Neodiprion lecontei: one gene and its partner. The protein of the gene in region 2 purifies or fractionates together with the protein of the main gene of each other region. This does not show direct contact. Links are inferred from orthologs where the notes say so. Each region holds a gene or a part of one and is shown on either strand. Other genes may lie near its edges.

What was found. The genes of interacting proteins can lie anywhere in the genome.
Region 1: the proteins of cell division control protein 45 homolog (region 2) and DNA replication licensing factor MCM4 purify together in Drosophila melanogaster (affinity purification with western blotting; 4 studies listed by BioGRID, with this or other methods). This does not show direct contact. The link is inferred for Neodiprion lecontei from reciprocal best matches to the Drosophila melanogaster genes Cdc45 and dpa.

Annotation. Positions count from the first base shown.
Region 1 is NC_060264.1:8,092,086-8,099,676, reverse strand, and holds DNA replication licensing factor MCM4, read right to left. Parts: upstream 5,086-7,591; 5' UTR 4,939-5,085; coding exon 4,779-4,938; intron 4,540-4,778; coding exon 4,214-4,539; intron 3,996-4,213; coding exon 3,100-3,995; intron 3,037-3,099; coding exon 2,714-3,036; intron 2,615-2,713; coding exon 2,337-2,614; intron 2,249-2,336; coding exon 1,848-2,248; intron 1,760-1,847; coding exon 1,549-1,759; intron 1,229-1,548; coding exon 1,133-1,228; 3' UTR 647-1,132; downstream 1-646. UniProt on the Drosophila melanogaster protein: Acts as a component of the Mcm2-7 complex (Mcm complex) which is the putative replicative helicase essential for 'once per cell cycle' DNA replication initiation and elongation in eukaryotic cells.
Region 2 is NC_060262.1:27,230,684-27,239,117, forward strand, and holds cell division control protein 45 homolog, read right to left. Parts: upstream 6,335-8,434; 5' UTR 5,961-6,334; coding exon 5,910-5,960; intron 5,079-5,909; coding exon 4,926-5,078; intron 4,510-4,925; coding exon 4,300-4,509; intron 3,860-4,299; coding exon 3,677-3,859; intron 3,573-3,676; coding exon 3,343-3,572; intron 3,229-3,342; coding exon 2,892-3,228; intron 2,815-2,891; coding exon 2,420-2,814; intron 2,147-2,419; coding exon 2,070-2,146; intron 2,003-2,069; coding exon 1,935-2,002; 3' UTR 1,052-1,934; downstream 1-1,051. Other genes in the region: probable 18S rRNA (guanine-N(7))-methyltransferase, read left to right, coding at 6,749-6,787, 6,877-6,914, 7,003-7,181, 7,362-7,788, 7,955-8,099.

The DNA of each region.
Region 1 (7,591 bases), on a different chromosome or scaffold from region 2:
TAACAAATGTCTGAATAAAAAAAAAAACTATAAATTTTATTTGCAAATTATCTCATGGATTTTATTTATTCACTTTTCCATATTTAAAGTGAAATATTAGTTTTTAAGAATAGAATCCTCTGCGGCTGTGTGTGTCTGTGCGTGTGCGATAATTTTTTTATCCAACGATATCTGCAGAACGAATGGATAGATTTGGATGATTTTGGAGTCAATCAACGGAGCTTTTCTTAACTTAGAACTGATTAGATTTTGAATATTATTGGTCATGTAGCTTTCCAGTTATTTGAATAAAAAATTAAAACATTTCTTTTGTCAATGTTTGATGGGCTCGAATGGAAGTTCTTATGATGACCCCATCAAGATCACGCACATTACCCGCTTGATTTTATTTTTCATGACTATTCAGCTACAGAAAGATAAGAACACGAATGAGAGCTACAGTTCGTGTAATTATAGGTATAAGGCAAGATGATGTATGGAGATGGTCAAAATACAAAATACAATTTGATAAGATTGGCGATAATTGATATGGTAAGAAAATCAAATATGGGCGGAACACAACAGGAAAATGACTATGATTTCAAGGTAAATGAGGTAAATTAGATGAAAAAAGACGAATTTTTAAAAGTTTTATTGAAAAATAACCATGTTAATTATAATAATGGTTTTAGAAATAAAAAATTAATAATCTAAGATGCATCTCAAACGGGGAAATTACGTCTTGGAAATGCGAAAATCCGTAAGGCATAGATATTTGTTTAGGCACCAATTTCGGGCTGTTTTCACAACGTAGCATTACAGAAAAAGACTTAAGAGGAGGAAATATAAACAGAACATTTCCGCTGCTTGGTCTCTTTGGTAAAAAATTTGTTTGTATAGGATATTTTCGTTTTGTATTGTAAGAAGGGGTAGTAAAAATTTTCTACCACTGATTCTCGTGAAAAAATAAATAAGGAATATTGTTCTCTGGATTTCATTTTCAGCTGGTCGAAAAGATGGAATATTCAAGCGCGAACTTTTATGTAATTATTGTCATAGTGGCAGTGCCTTGTGAACGCTTATTTGTCTTATACAATTTATCAAATTCATCCGAAATATCTGACAGAGCTTGTTTGGAAATAATATCAAACTTTCAGCAGACTCTGATGGTATTTTTACCGATAACAATAATAAAACCGTCATCTTGTAGCTCCTTCAGTGAATCTTCAAACATCTCACGTGTTATCAGCTGAAATAATAGTTTTCAGTCATATTTTTTTCATTGACAATTGCGATGCCATATTCGATAATTTATTTAAAAATGACGTAATGAATTTACGGACGTTAATTTCTTTGTAGGTATTCCTTTTGAAATTAACACTGTTCGATGTGTCATTTATTTACTTAATAACTTGTTAATGCTAGATTTTTGACGTGCAATTAATCTTCTATGTGATATGAAAATATGTGTCTAATGCCTGCCATACCTAGATATGTGCTGCAATTTGACAACTGTAGCAATTCCCAGGTATAACCGATGTTTAAAATAAAATAAATATGATTACTCACGATCTGAGACGCCTCTTTAATCTCAGTGAAAATCTTTTGGTAATTCAAAGTTGGAATCTTCCCCTTGCTTTCGATCAAGCTACGTATCGCTTGTGTTAGTTCCATTCTTCGTTTCCTAGCAGCTGCTGACAAGCCAGTTGTCAGAATGCCAACATCAATCTTCCCACTCAATGGATCTGTCGCCGACTGCTTTAGAGCCTCGCGATGCAGTCTAAAACAAGAAAAAAAAAAATCCAAGGAATCACGTGATGAAGGGTTGACCATCTTTATCACGTTTGAGTTTCAGCTTCTTTACGCACCTCCAGGCCTCTTCAACATCTTCCACCACAACTAAGCTGCTTAGTCGTATTTTTGCATGTGCTTCCGCTAATCTTATAAGGGATTCCAGTTGCCTTGGATATGCACTGATCTGTCCTCTGCCGCTACCAACTTTTCTCATGTCTACATACGCCTGAACTAATCTTTGCTGAGATTCTTCGCTCATAACTGGATGCACGTGTTCTTTGGCATATGCTATGTAGTCGCGTAAAATGCTCATATCAATAAGATCATCTTCAACCTCAGGTTTGGCTTTGTAATACAGAGAGACCAAATGGCGAGCAAGCCGTTTATCGAATAGTTCGTCTTGAGGGTCAAGCATGAGAAAAATTAGGTCGAATCGAGACATCAGGGTATGAGGCAACATAACATTCTCAATCACCTGTAAGATAAATTTAATAAATTATGTTCAGATGGAATATAATATTGAATTCCCAATGGACAGCACAGGTATGATGTACTATCAGTACCGTTTTATTCTTATTCCATTGGGATTCGCAGGGATTAGCTGCCGCCAAAATGCTGGTTCTTGCATTTAATTGACAAATAATGCCAGCCTTGGCAATACTCAAAGTTTGCTGTTCCATGACCTCGTGCAATACAGATCGCGTAGCATCGTTCATTTTATCAAATTCGTCAATGCAGCATATACCGTTGTCGGCCAAAACCAAAGCTCCTGTTTGCAGTACAAGCTGTCGTGTTTCTGGATCTTTTGTGACGTAGGCAGTTAGACCCACAGCACTGGAACCTTGAAGCATAAACAAAAACATTACTCGTATAAGAATCGAATAAAAACGCTAAATCACCATCGGTGGAAATATTAAAATGACCATAAAGTGAAACGTACCTTTGCCACTGGTATATTGCGATCTTGGTACCAAATTGTAGATGTACTGAAGCAACTGGGATTTACTGGTACCAGGATCTCCGCATAGCAAGATATTTATTTCAGCACGAAAATGATTTCTGCCTGAAGAAGTGTGGGTCTTCTTTGTCCCTCCAAACAGTTGCAATAATATTCCTTTCTTTATATCTTCGTTCTCATAGATACTCGGTGCTATGTTACGCGCCAATCGTTCATAGACATCCTCCTTCTGGGATAACAATTGTAGCAATTCAAGTCTCTCAGGCGGGAATGCATGATCTTTGCCATCCTCTTGATCGTAGAGCCTGAAAGCAATAATGAGAAAATATACTGCAAATATTCTTATCATCAAATTCAAATGTGCATACCTTTTAGAATCCTGCTTTCTGAAGTGAACGACGTCTATATGAGTTTTGTACACGGCGCGAACATTACTCTGTTTGAAGCTAACTTGGAGAGGAATCGCACGATATATTCCTGTAACAGCAACTCGATCTCCTGGTTGAACAGCGTCGACCAGATCATTGTGAGCAAATACAACGATAGTGTGCGGTGTTTGACCAGCAGGCATGTCATCAGGAGATTCTTGAAGTTTGACCATTTGTTTGTCAGAGAAGTGGCTCCTATTGTGAATCAGCCGGAAGCAATGATTAGTATTACAGTGAGTGCACAGAGTTGGTTCAGCAATTCGACCTCGGTCAATTTCTACCAAAGTTGTGAAAGAACAGACTGTACATTTGAAGAAAGCCTCTCGCATTTCTGGTATCAAGTTTGAAGTTCTGCTCACCATCCCTGATATTGTAATCAACTTATCAATATCTTCGGGATTTAAACCGCGCATGTTTTTAGTCTTAGCTGCATTGAATGGTCGGACCTGTATTTGATGGTCCAGTACTGCAGCTGGGTACTTTTCAAAAAACATTTCATTCGCAGCCATGTCTAGAGTGGGTATAACTTCTTGTGGGTAACAAATCAGTTGTCTGTACAATTGCTCATCAAAACTTTCTAAGTGAGCGCAGTTTATGTTCAAGTATGGCTCCTCTAAAGTATGGATTTCGTCAAGTTTTTGGAGGTATAGTGGCTCGGCAAGATTCATGTTCTCTGGTAACTCATCATTTTCAGCTTCAGGGTCAATAAACCGCCTAACAAAACGTTTAAATTGATCCTTGCATCTGTTTACCACGACGTTTGTCCCCCAAATCACGAGCTGCGGACCTGCATTCTCACTCTCAGACGATCCAGGTATGAATGGTTCCTCTGGTATCTGTAACATTGAGAGAAATCTAGTGAATTTGAATTTGGGAGAAAATATTCTGGCAAAGCTCTGACACCAATGGTAACGTGCACATTAAACCGTTAAAATTATAATCGATGTATGTTGAAATGGAATGTCGCGTTTGATACTGTTGATTGTGAAACATATCTGCCAAAGACAGAAAAAATTCAATTAATAAATTATAAACCATAAAGATAGTTATTTACCGGTTCGCCAAGGTTGACCTGCCTGATTCGTTTGTCTGTTCTGATATCCGGTCTCTGTCTAATCGGAGTACCTCTAACGCCACTTCTAGGGGTTCGTATCGATCCCAAGGAGCTAGGTGTCCCGTAATACAAAGGCGAAGACAAATCTATCTCACTCATTCCAACAGCTAAAGGACTGGTCATTTGTACTCCCTGAGTCGGCGATGAGGCAGGTACAGAGGATGTACCTTCGGAAGAAGGGGCAATCGTATCTCGAGTACCATGTGTTCCCCATCTTAGCGGAGTTTCAGCCGTTGGATTATTTTTCTCTCTATTGGGTGTACGACCTACAAAGATAAGAAGCATTCAGAGGTATTTTATTCAATTTCTTTTACATATTGTTAATTAAAATTTCAAGGTGGAACAAAATGCTGGGTAGGCATACAAAGGAAAATTAAGTATTACGGAAGGAAAATAAAACCGACTTGAGTGAGAGTAATAGTGAAGTACCAATATGATGCGACTCGCTTGTGTTATCTTATTCATACAGGTAAACGAGTAAAACAAGGTGAAAACGTTTACTTACCCTGTTTACTCGGTGTACGGTTTTTGCTCGGCGTGCTTTTAACGGATGGAGTGCCACTCGGTGTTGGAGTTTTTCGCTGACGACTTGGTGTTCCATTAGTCGAGGAACTATCAGCGTCTTTCCTATTCGGAGTCTGGGGCCTTTTCATTGGACTTGACATGTTGCTTATGGTAGTGTTACTGGGGTCAATTAAATAGAAATTAACTATTACATCGGATAAAATAGAGAATTATCTCACACTTTCAACGCCGGTAGTAGAATACGAGGCTAGCGACGGCCATACTGGATACCATTTAATTGCGCGGGAAAAGCAAACGTGCAGGATCACGTGTGTGATATCGATAGTCGATTGTATCGAATGCGACGCGGAATATTATGCGAATTTTAATTTTCACCTATTACACGAGTGTACGTAACTGGCATTTAAAACAGAATTTATTTTCAATAATTAGTAGGTACATAAAAATGAATAATTATTACCTTAAGGTGAAAGGTGAAAAGCATAGAAAAAAAGTGTATTCTTCTAAAAACTTATCTAACGTAAGTGTAATTTACTTCACTCAGAAGTAAAACGTATTTTATATGCAGCGCAACAAGAGGCAGGTTTTAGTTACTGATTTCTAATTTTTTATATTTTTTTCTTTTTACACAAGTATCATAGTTTAGTAATTAATAGAAGATACGAGTAATTATGAGATCAAAATGTAATATAGAATATTATATAATTTCGACGCATTATTCAGGCTGACAGACAAAAATAAATTGTGATAGTATTACAGCCTAAAATTTTAATTAATTGAACTGCAGGCAGTACATGTATTGACATTATACATATATATACATATGCATGTGAGTGTGTCTGTATATAAAATATAATTCTAATTAATAAGTTGTCATTGAATGTACGAATGATAGGCAATGCATAAATTTACCATCAAAAGTTTAAGAATTCATTATTTTCATAATAGTATATTGGTGAAAAAATTGAACTGAACCTAGTTCGCTTCAATGTATACACATAGTTATTGTTAATTGTACAGATTTCTATTGACTGTAAATTTAGTCTAAAATTAAAGTTGAAATTACAATTCAGCATGGTAAAATACTATTACAACAACATAGTCACAGATAATATTTAACAATATAAAGTAATCCATTGGTTACGGCGATGAATAGCAGCTTAAGAATATTTTTTCAAGTGAACTCTCAAAAGAGCAAACATGATTGAGATGATTATTCTCTAGTCTCTCAGATACCACAAATGTGAGGGTAGTGCAGAAATCTGTTCTGTCGAAATTAAAACAGTTTTACTGATAAAAAAAAAAAAAAAAAACAAAAAACAAAAAAAACGAATGAAACAATTTAACATGATTAGTCTTGTAACCTATCCTAAAAAAAAGTATATATAAGATATACATACATGAATGTATATATATACTTATACATTTATCACCCGAATCGCAACGATATAACTACCCCGAGAACCATATACTATACTTTCTCTGTATCGCAGCTTTAGTGAAATGGTAACAAAACCAAGGGTTCACTGTATACCAATAACAACAAATACATGTTGTCCAAAGTTATTTTGATTTTCAAATTCACGTAAACATGTTCAAGAAATGAATGAAGTAACGCTGTGTAAACGTTGATCACACTTGAAAAGAAAAAAATAATGATAATAATAATAATAATAATAATAAAATGTTTTCCTTTAATAAGATATACACACTTGGTACAATGCTGCTGTTATGAACGCAAACTTTTCTTGCAACCAGATAAAATATTCAGTCAAAGTATCTTAATTTGTACAAGGGTATATAAATGGTTTTTAAACGAATTTGAGTTATTTAAAAATACATTCATTGAATTAAGTTGGATATTAGGTGGAATCCATCTTTTACTATTTTAATAAATTAAGAAAAAAAATATATCGACTACCCAAATAGTCATACTGTTCACTTTGTACCATTACTCAAACATTGATGTTAAATTGAACACAGAAGAAAACAAGAAACGAGAAAAGAACAGATCTTAATATTAAACACTCTGCATTATTATTCCGCATTCGAAACATGACACATTATTATGCGTGGAAAAGAGTTCCCATTCGAGTAAATACAAAGTTTATGAAACACGAATCGTTGTCAAACGTTCAAACTGTGATCCTTATCATTTTTTTCCCCAGATATCACAAATTTTCAGTCATGAAATTGTCTATTTACAAGAATCATAAGCCGGCCCGCTGGAGGCAAATATTACATAAGTATCAGCTTACTGGCAGCGAAACTTTGCAATTGAATATAACTTTCGATACAAACCATTTCCAACATGCATGTTTACGGCTAGCATGAATGTGCAGCACTTGCTCGATACGTAACATAATTGAGCAAAGAGCAAAAACAACTCTCCGATATTCTTTCCTGTGACAATCGCATGTAATATTCAATTATATTTTTATAATTAAACATACTTTTAACGGTTATTCGTGTCTGTTGATTGCTTTTACACAAAATATAACGCATAGACTACATTAAGCTACATTCTGCTTGATGCTGGTTATATATTACACTACCTCGTAAGTCACAATGTAGCAACACGCCTTATATGAGTGTAATGTGATATCAGTGTGACGAAACATATCGAGTGTATTACAACTCTTGGTGTTCGTTGTAGGTGTAAATTGATGAAAACATTCCTTACAATTTTATTCAGATTTATATTCTTGTAAGCATGACTCACTTTGTTGTTGACGTGAAATTGATATGAAAGTCTAAACTGGTGCAAATTTTCAATCGTAAAATCATCCTAAT
Region 2 (8,434 bases):
CTAAACATTTTTTACAACAGCTTTTTCTCTTTTGCCAAATTTTATTTCAAACTCTACGGCGCATTCATTCTAGAGTTGTGAAAATAGCAGTGTAAAAGTAATGCATTGCTCATTACTTTGAACAATGTGTATGGGATACGTTATCCATTACAAATAAAAAAAATAATGTATAATGTATGAGTGCCTCATTACAAAAACAAAAAATAATGTGTAATGAATGCGTGAATAATTACAATTTTAAAAAAATAATTTATAATGGAGTGTATTTTATTGTAAATAGAATAACTGCTTCATCATTATTTTATTTTGTTAACTAAAAGTTTCTTCTAGGAAAATTCGATTTTCTTCTGTTTAAAGATCAGTACTTCACGCAGAAGAAAAACGTGCAATTTAGAAACTTGCACATTGCATTTTCATTGTTTTATTGCGCTGACAAAGTTTTCTCTATGAGAAAGCTATCACTTGAAAACCAACTTCATCACTCCACACTACGTATTTCTCGAAGTTCAACTCTTGACAAGTTGTAAGGGGGTGGAAAAGTTTATATAGAAAAACAAATCATTCAAAAAAAAAAATCTATTGAATACTCTCCAATAAAAATTACTTTTTTTTTCATTTGTAATTTGTAATGTTACTTATCAATTACATATTACTTTTTTAAATTTATAATGCAGCACACATCCGTTACACATTATGCAGTGTAATGTGTAATGAATATAGTAATGCATTATCAAAGTAATGTTCACAACTCTGATTCCTTCTTAGCAAAATTTTAAATGGTGCAGTTCTCTCACTGAGGGTAACGCATTCAACTATCGATTGTAGCTGCATGCTTCAGTTTCCGCGTTTTAGAATGTGCCAGTTACAAAATATGGGCACGTTGTATTCATAAAATATTTATGAATACTTCAAGGTGGTCTGGAATATACAGTTTGTGAATGAGCTGATGTTGATGAAACTTGCGAGTTTGCAATTTACTGTAGAAACCAGAGGTGTGATAACAAAAACGTATACAGCGTTTAAGTTGGGATTGACAACAAATATCTTCAACTCATTTTTAAAAAACGCATGTATTTATTCGGTTCACTTTTACTTATTGCGTAATGTCTGTATCAAATTATCATATTAATGTTCGACGGTTGACCATGACCCTAAGTTATAAATTGATGCTTACATTATCGTTAGAGCTAAGTCTAGTATCACTCTTAAAATCATTCTATGTACAATAAAGAGTTTATTATTCATTCGAACACATCCGTGGCTAAACTTCAGAGTGACGTGACTCCTGTACCCAAGCACACAAGAGATGCCCGTTTACGGCGTAGCCACCGGAATCAAATACTCAAGAGTATATTTTACGAATTCAATATTCTCATTCCATTTTATACAAAGCTAATAAATCTGCTTTACTAAAGTTTACTTCACATATGGTGAACTGACAAAAAATTAGTGAGACTCATAAGTAAACGAATTAGTGACAGTAACTTATAGTAGTTCGATCGCATCCTAATTGTTGGAAAAAATTCGTCAAACAAGTCGTAAAATAAAACAAGACTTTTTGAAGTCCCTTATTAACGATTCAATCAAGAAATTTGATATTCTGCAAATCCGTGTATTGATGACCAGTACATTGAAACTGTCAAATATTACCTGAATGCTTAAAATTTGTAAAGGAAATCTAGTTATAGGTAATGTGAAATTAGATTAATATGTCAAATAAATTAAACTACAGATTCGATTAAAATAAAGTTAAAGCTTGTTACGTCGCTGGTTCTAAAATATGTCTGGGTTTAGAAATGTTGATCATAATACCCATAGTTGCATTGTTATACATTGCTAATCACCTGTGAGCAGGTGATCTGAATTGTATAGGTAGATTGATATCCACTACAATAAAAACTATAAACTAAATTTTAATATTTCTACTTAACTATTTATATAATCAGGAGCGCTGTCAATGCATCAAAGAACTTTGGCCGCTCTTGAATCTTCAGTCTTATTACTGGTAAACATGAAAATAACAATATTTGTAAATATTAAATAAAAGTTTTTCAAGTTTTATTACTCACTTGTTGTATCGAAGTAGTCCGCCTCTATATACGAATTGGTATTTTTAGCAGCTTGCTCGAATGCCCTTCCAAAGAGGCTAGTAATGTTAAATTCATGAGTCAGATAGTAATTCACATTTTTACAGCGACAAGTTTACGTTGCGAGGATTTTCATAATGCAAGATTACGTTAGACACAAATTTTTTTTACTTTACATATTCAGTTGCCAATTAATCATATACTTTGAATATATAATTTTTGAGAATTTTCTTTGTTTGCAATTCTGCGTGTGAATATGCATGCGGACTGTGCGGTTTGTGATTTGTTGAAGAGTCATTTTGCGAAAAATTGACATGCAAACGTTATCTCACCTTCTAGGTTGATCTTCGCATAGTGGTGGTATACCAACAACGAGGCAAGTACCGTCTTCTTCGCTGAAAGGTGCAGTAGCAATCAGTGGCCACTTAGTTGCGTTCCTGTATCTTGATGTTTCTACGTATGCTTTTAGTGTAAACTGTGCCAACATGATCAATGCGTGCTCATGTGCAAATAATCGAGTATCTAACGTGCCATCTTGGATAACAATATAAAGAAATGGACCTGCATTCTTTACTTGTTTCATTTCTAAGATGCCTTGAGCTGTCTTATAAATGTTGCTAAGCATTAGTTTTGCCTTTTCTATGCCTCTTTCTACAACATCTTTCTTCTTGCGAGATAGACAGTCCAAAGCATCTAAAAAGCAGTGTTGTGGTAATCTTTCTTTTGTCTGCAAAGAAACAAGTTTGTCGGTTTGTAGTTTGAAAGTGTTGGAAATATGGTTCATGGAAACTTATCAAAACCCACCGTGGACTCAAGTAAGGCCAGCATAGAGTATACCACGTCTGAGGCACAGTATTTAAATCTATATCCGTACTGCAGGGTAAAACTAGCACCAACAATGCTGTCAACATTGTATTTCGATGCTAATTTTTCAATCATCTGTTTAAACTCGTGTCGTAAGCTGAGATCCATGGCTGAAAATCGTTGCTTAGATTGTGCCAGAGGTAAACCCATCTCAGCCAGGAGTTCCCTAAGGCGATTTTCACCTCTTAAAGACCATAAGCGAAGAGAAACCGCCGTTGGTACGGAATGTTTTAGACTGGCTTCAACTGTCCAATGACGATACAGAGCCAACTGAAGGCTGTTAAATGTTACTAAGGAATTTACTAGTCTTGATATTCACTATTAATTATTTCTTCTGTATTCTTATGAAACTACAAAATGTATATAACATGCACGAATTTATGAAGGATACTCCTTGTCGTAAGTAAGTTTGACTGCTGTGGCGTGTTGCTTTTCACTGTCCGTAACTCTATGACTTAGTCTCGAAACGTGACTCTGGAGATTTCCTGTTTCTAAAACACTAACCCTGGATTCAACTTTTCCAAGAATTGCTTGTTCTGTAGCTCCTATAATCCCCCACCACGCCACGTCCAACGTATCTCGTGAGAGTTTCCATGCTAACTCATAGATTATCACAGCACTCTAAGGGTAAGCCATACATTAAAGCCTACGTTTTTTGAAACTCCCTAGTTAGTACAGCCATGTTTACAGATAAGTATTTAGATAAATTATTTGTTATTTCATACCGATCGACCATAGTAGCTGTATTGTGTGTAATTAAACATAATTTGTGTTCTACTCGCATCCCACAACCTTCGATTTCTTCGTTTTTCAATTTCTTCTTCATTCAATCGCCGACGTTTCGATAGCCTACTTTCTGCCGCCACACTCGAATCATCTTCATCTGTGTCTTCTTCTTCTTCATCAGACTGAATAGTGAAGCAAGTTCAGAATTGAAAAGAGGGCAATTATTAGTGCAAGCACTGTCAACTCCCATATGAGTTTGAAGTTGGTAATGTTAATGTAATGAAACATGAAGTAAAAATCATCACTTTGTAAATAATGCAACTGCAATTGCAAAGTAAATATGTTCTACTTCATTCCAATAGATGAAATGATAATTCCGTCTGAAAATTATCTGTTACATTACCGCTATCAGCTTCAACCTGTTACCCCTATTCTTAGCAGAATGTTCTCAACAAAACTACCATAATTGATGTTGTATTTATAAAATCCATCAAACAAATTATTTTATATAATAAAGTAACAACAAATATTTTTAAAAAGCTTCATATAATCTGTACGATAAATCTTTATTAAGCTTGATAAGTTTACGAGAAATCTATTATATAGGTTAAATGATACTTACAGAATTATCTCTAAAGACCTCGGTATATTCTGGTATCTTTTCTTCATTGTCAGGCTGACCTAGGATTCTGACTTGACTCTCTGAATAGACGTTGCATAAATCGTAAGGTCTATGACTGTCGAGAATGTAAAATACCACACTTTCATCTGGCTGTAGAAGTTCCACAATATCCAATGTTCCACCACAATTTACTAATATTACGTATTTCACCTAATACAGTAAAATATATTAATAAAATATAAACATCTATAAGTATTCTCTTTATTGATCTGTCAAATTAGATGTATTTCAATAGTTTCATAGTGAATAATAAACCAAGGTTTAGAAAATATTAATTCCTGTGTTTTTTAATTTCAATGCGTAGATCTTGCAAAAGTTTCTATGTTTTTGTTCGTTCATGTTTGTGCCATCAATTACACCTCAAGATGAAAAAATACATAGAACTGAATATATACGACTTCATGATTATACAGAAATAAAGAAATAGAACAAAAACTAAGAACATTTACTGACGAAAAAACATTGGAATAAGTGATAATGAATCTTTTACTTTATTATCTGGACCGTGAACTTGAATATGTATTGTTCTACTGGTTATACAAAGGAGCAAAGATTTTGATGGTTACCTCTTCACAGTTCTCTTCATATGCTTGAACTAAGTCTTGAATTCCACGCACAGGAACCAGTGTATATACAATGTTGTCATTTTTTAAAAGGTACTGCAATATTTTGCATGCACATATTGCATCGATGTCAAAATTGACTAACAATAAGCATCTCTAAAAACAAAGGAAAATTCAATCGTTAGTATATAAACAATGGTTTAGCACAGTTGACTTTGTTGACGAATGGTTCTTAGGATAATGATTAATAAACCAAGAAATAAATAGAAATAAGTGCTAAGATCAAGGAAAATGCATTATCTATAGGAAACAAAATCCTTTAATAAATTTATATGAGAACATTTGGTTCAACGACATAAACAAACGGACACTACTGTAATAGTTGATCAAATGTGTTTTTCGAAAAAATTAGGTACTCTCGGTGATAAGGTTGCAAGTTAAGTATTGTCAAGATCGAAATTTCAAAACACTGAAATTTTTTAAGGCTGTGTGACTTAAGGAAAACATTCAAAAATCAGATGGCAACACCCAACACGTAAATAAGTATGCAAGGAAGAAAAAGGGCGCCTAAATCATATGGTTTACCACTCCGAATTTTCGTCTTTTTATATTCACACTACTCTTAAGCTAATAAAAATTATTATAAGGTCGAAGAGCGAGCACAAAACCGGAAACAAAAGTTACAAAATGATAAACGGAATAATGAAAAGAACGGGACTGTTTACTTACGTATTTACATCAGTTCTAACGACTCATTTTCTCATCATTTTCAAAGACAACGAGTGAAAGAAAGACACGATTAAATATCGAATAATTCGATACAAAGTAATTAAGTACAGTTAGAAAATTGGGTCAGATTTCAAAATACTTTATTGTTAATTAGTCGTGCAATTAGGCAACCTCAAAAATTACCTCTCCGAGAGAGAGGCACACGTAAACCATTCCTCTCGTCATTGTACAGAGATCAGTCGTAAAATATTCACTTACGTTTCCTAATATTTCGTTATAAAACTCAGTTTGAATATTGTCCAAAAACATGATGCCCTCGTCAAACACATGGAAGAGGAATTTTTATTTTACAATCGTCAAAACACCACCATGATCCGTTTGCAAACTGCGAATACCGCGAGGCGCGAACGACGACTGTGGGACTGCGCAGTGCGCAGCAGCTGCTCTCTGCTCTCGACGCGCTCCTGTGGTATTCACTGGCGTTTTACCAAGTTCCAGTATTTCAAACAATTTCAAAGTATGACTTTCAATCTTTGCGAAAGGAAATCACTACAGAATCATAGAGCTTATACTAGAATGCGTGAAAACACAAGGGAATCACAGTTCGATACCCTAATACGGTTCTGTGTATTGATTATAAGGTTGACTGACTCCCGCCGATAAAGAAGCTACCGAGTCGTTAACACGGCTTTTTGTGGCCAAGTCCACTTACTCGTAAAGTTCTGATTGAGAAAATTTCCCCAAGATGAACGTCTTTGAAATCTTCCGTCAACGCTGTAGAACGCCAACGTGTTTTCAAATGATTATTTTTTACGCTAAATTTCAGTCGCACGCATAAAGTACGGAAAAGTAATTACTCAGATTATCATACACTAATCTCTGGTGCAGCATAGGGCAAATGAATGGACAAACGCAGAGCGGAACTTATAAGACCACGTGACAATTGACCAATCAGTGCATTCGATAACTAAATCGCCCAAGCCAAGGAACGGCCTCGTGACCTCGCCAAGCACGTGTCATGTCAAAGTGGTGTATGATATTAATAACGTTATTCTCCGGAACTTGATTTGTCTCGAAAAGAAGCAACAGATTGGAACATGTCTAGACGACCAGAGCATTCGGCACCGCCTGAAGTGGTACGATTAGACATCCACTTCTACTATTCGTACGTCTGAATGACTTCTAGGTTACCTCAAATAATTGTTACGTTTTCTGTTATTTACAGTTCTACAATGAAGTGGAAGCACAGAAATACACACAGAAGTATGAGTCTATTTTTGCGACAATATATCCGGTGATACCGAATTTGCTCAAAACTTGTCTCGTTTGACTCCAAAACTTACATTTTTAGTTCTCGGATGATGGATATTCAAGTTCAAATGTGCGAACGAGCCATTGAATTGCTGTTGTTACCTGAAGACGAGCCATGCCTTCTTCTTGACATTGGTTGTGGATCTGGACTTAGCGGAAGCGTATTAGAAGACCAAGGCCACACGTGGATCGGTATCGATATATCTCCTGCAATGTTGAGTATGTTTCGACTATTACATTGGGTATTTTCTAAAACTGTCATATAATGTTCTTTTTGACTTAGTGTCGTAATTGTTCATTTTCATTTGGTGAATGTGGACGAAAATTATAAACAATGAAAAATTCCCAATGTTTGGAGACGCTTAGGATCAAATTGTAAATGTATTCTTGTTATTTCAGACGTAGCTAAAGAGCGGGAGGTTGAGGGTGATCTTATTCTGAGTGATATGGGACAAGGGGTGCCTTTTAGAGCTGGCAGCTTTGATGGAGCTGTGAGCATATCTGCGTTACAGTGGCTTTGCAATGCTGACAAAACTTCACACAATCCAGTCAAACGACTGTATCAGTTCTTTTCCTCCCTTTTCGCTTCATTAGGAAGGACAGCTAGAGCTGTCTTTCAATTTTATCCAGAAAATAGCGACCAGATTGAGTTGGTCACAACGCAAGCGACCAAAGCTGGGTTCTTTGGTGGTATAGTTGTTGATTTTCCAAACAGTACCAAGGCTAAAAAATTCTTTCTAGTTCTGATGACTGGTGGCGCAATGCCTCTTCCTAAGGCATTGGGAACTGGTGATGATAATACTGTAGTGAATTACGCGTCAAAAAGGTGTGTGGGAGTTCTAATACTATACCAAATTCAGAAACCATATTCAAACAAAGTTATAGAATTGTTAATAGCTTTTGGATTCCTTAATTTTTCTTTTGTTGAATAATTAATTTAATAATTTAATTGTATTGGGATACTGACGATTTCTTTTTCTTAAAAATTATAGGGAGCGAACTATGAAGGTACGCGGAAAGGCACTAAAGAAAAGTAGAGAGTGGATTTTGGAAAAGAAAGAGAGAAGACGGAGACAGGGCAAGGAGGTCAGAGATAATTCAAAATATACGGGCCGAAAGAGGAGTGGTCGGTTCTGAAATCTCTTAATTCTATCAGCTGTAACTACTCGTAATAATAGTTTATTTAAATTAACAAATATTCTCAGCACCTTGAGAAATAAAAAATCTAAATTCCTATGAAAATTCGTGTAATTAATTCCAATTCTATCGACAATATGACTTCTCAAATGTGCGAAATGAAATAACTCGGCAAAATTATAGGTAACATTAGGCTGAAACTATTGTTTTATTAGAACTAGTCATTCAAATTTAGAATCATCGGATTCAATATTACAATTTTATTTAGAAGAGTCTGAATCTTGATTATTGCAAGTTAATTGTGTTAACTTTTTTAGTTTCAAAATTCCTATTGC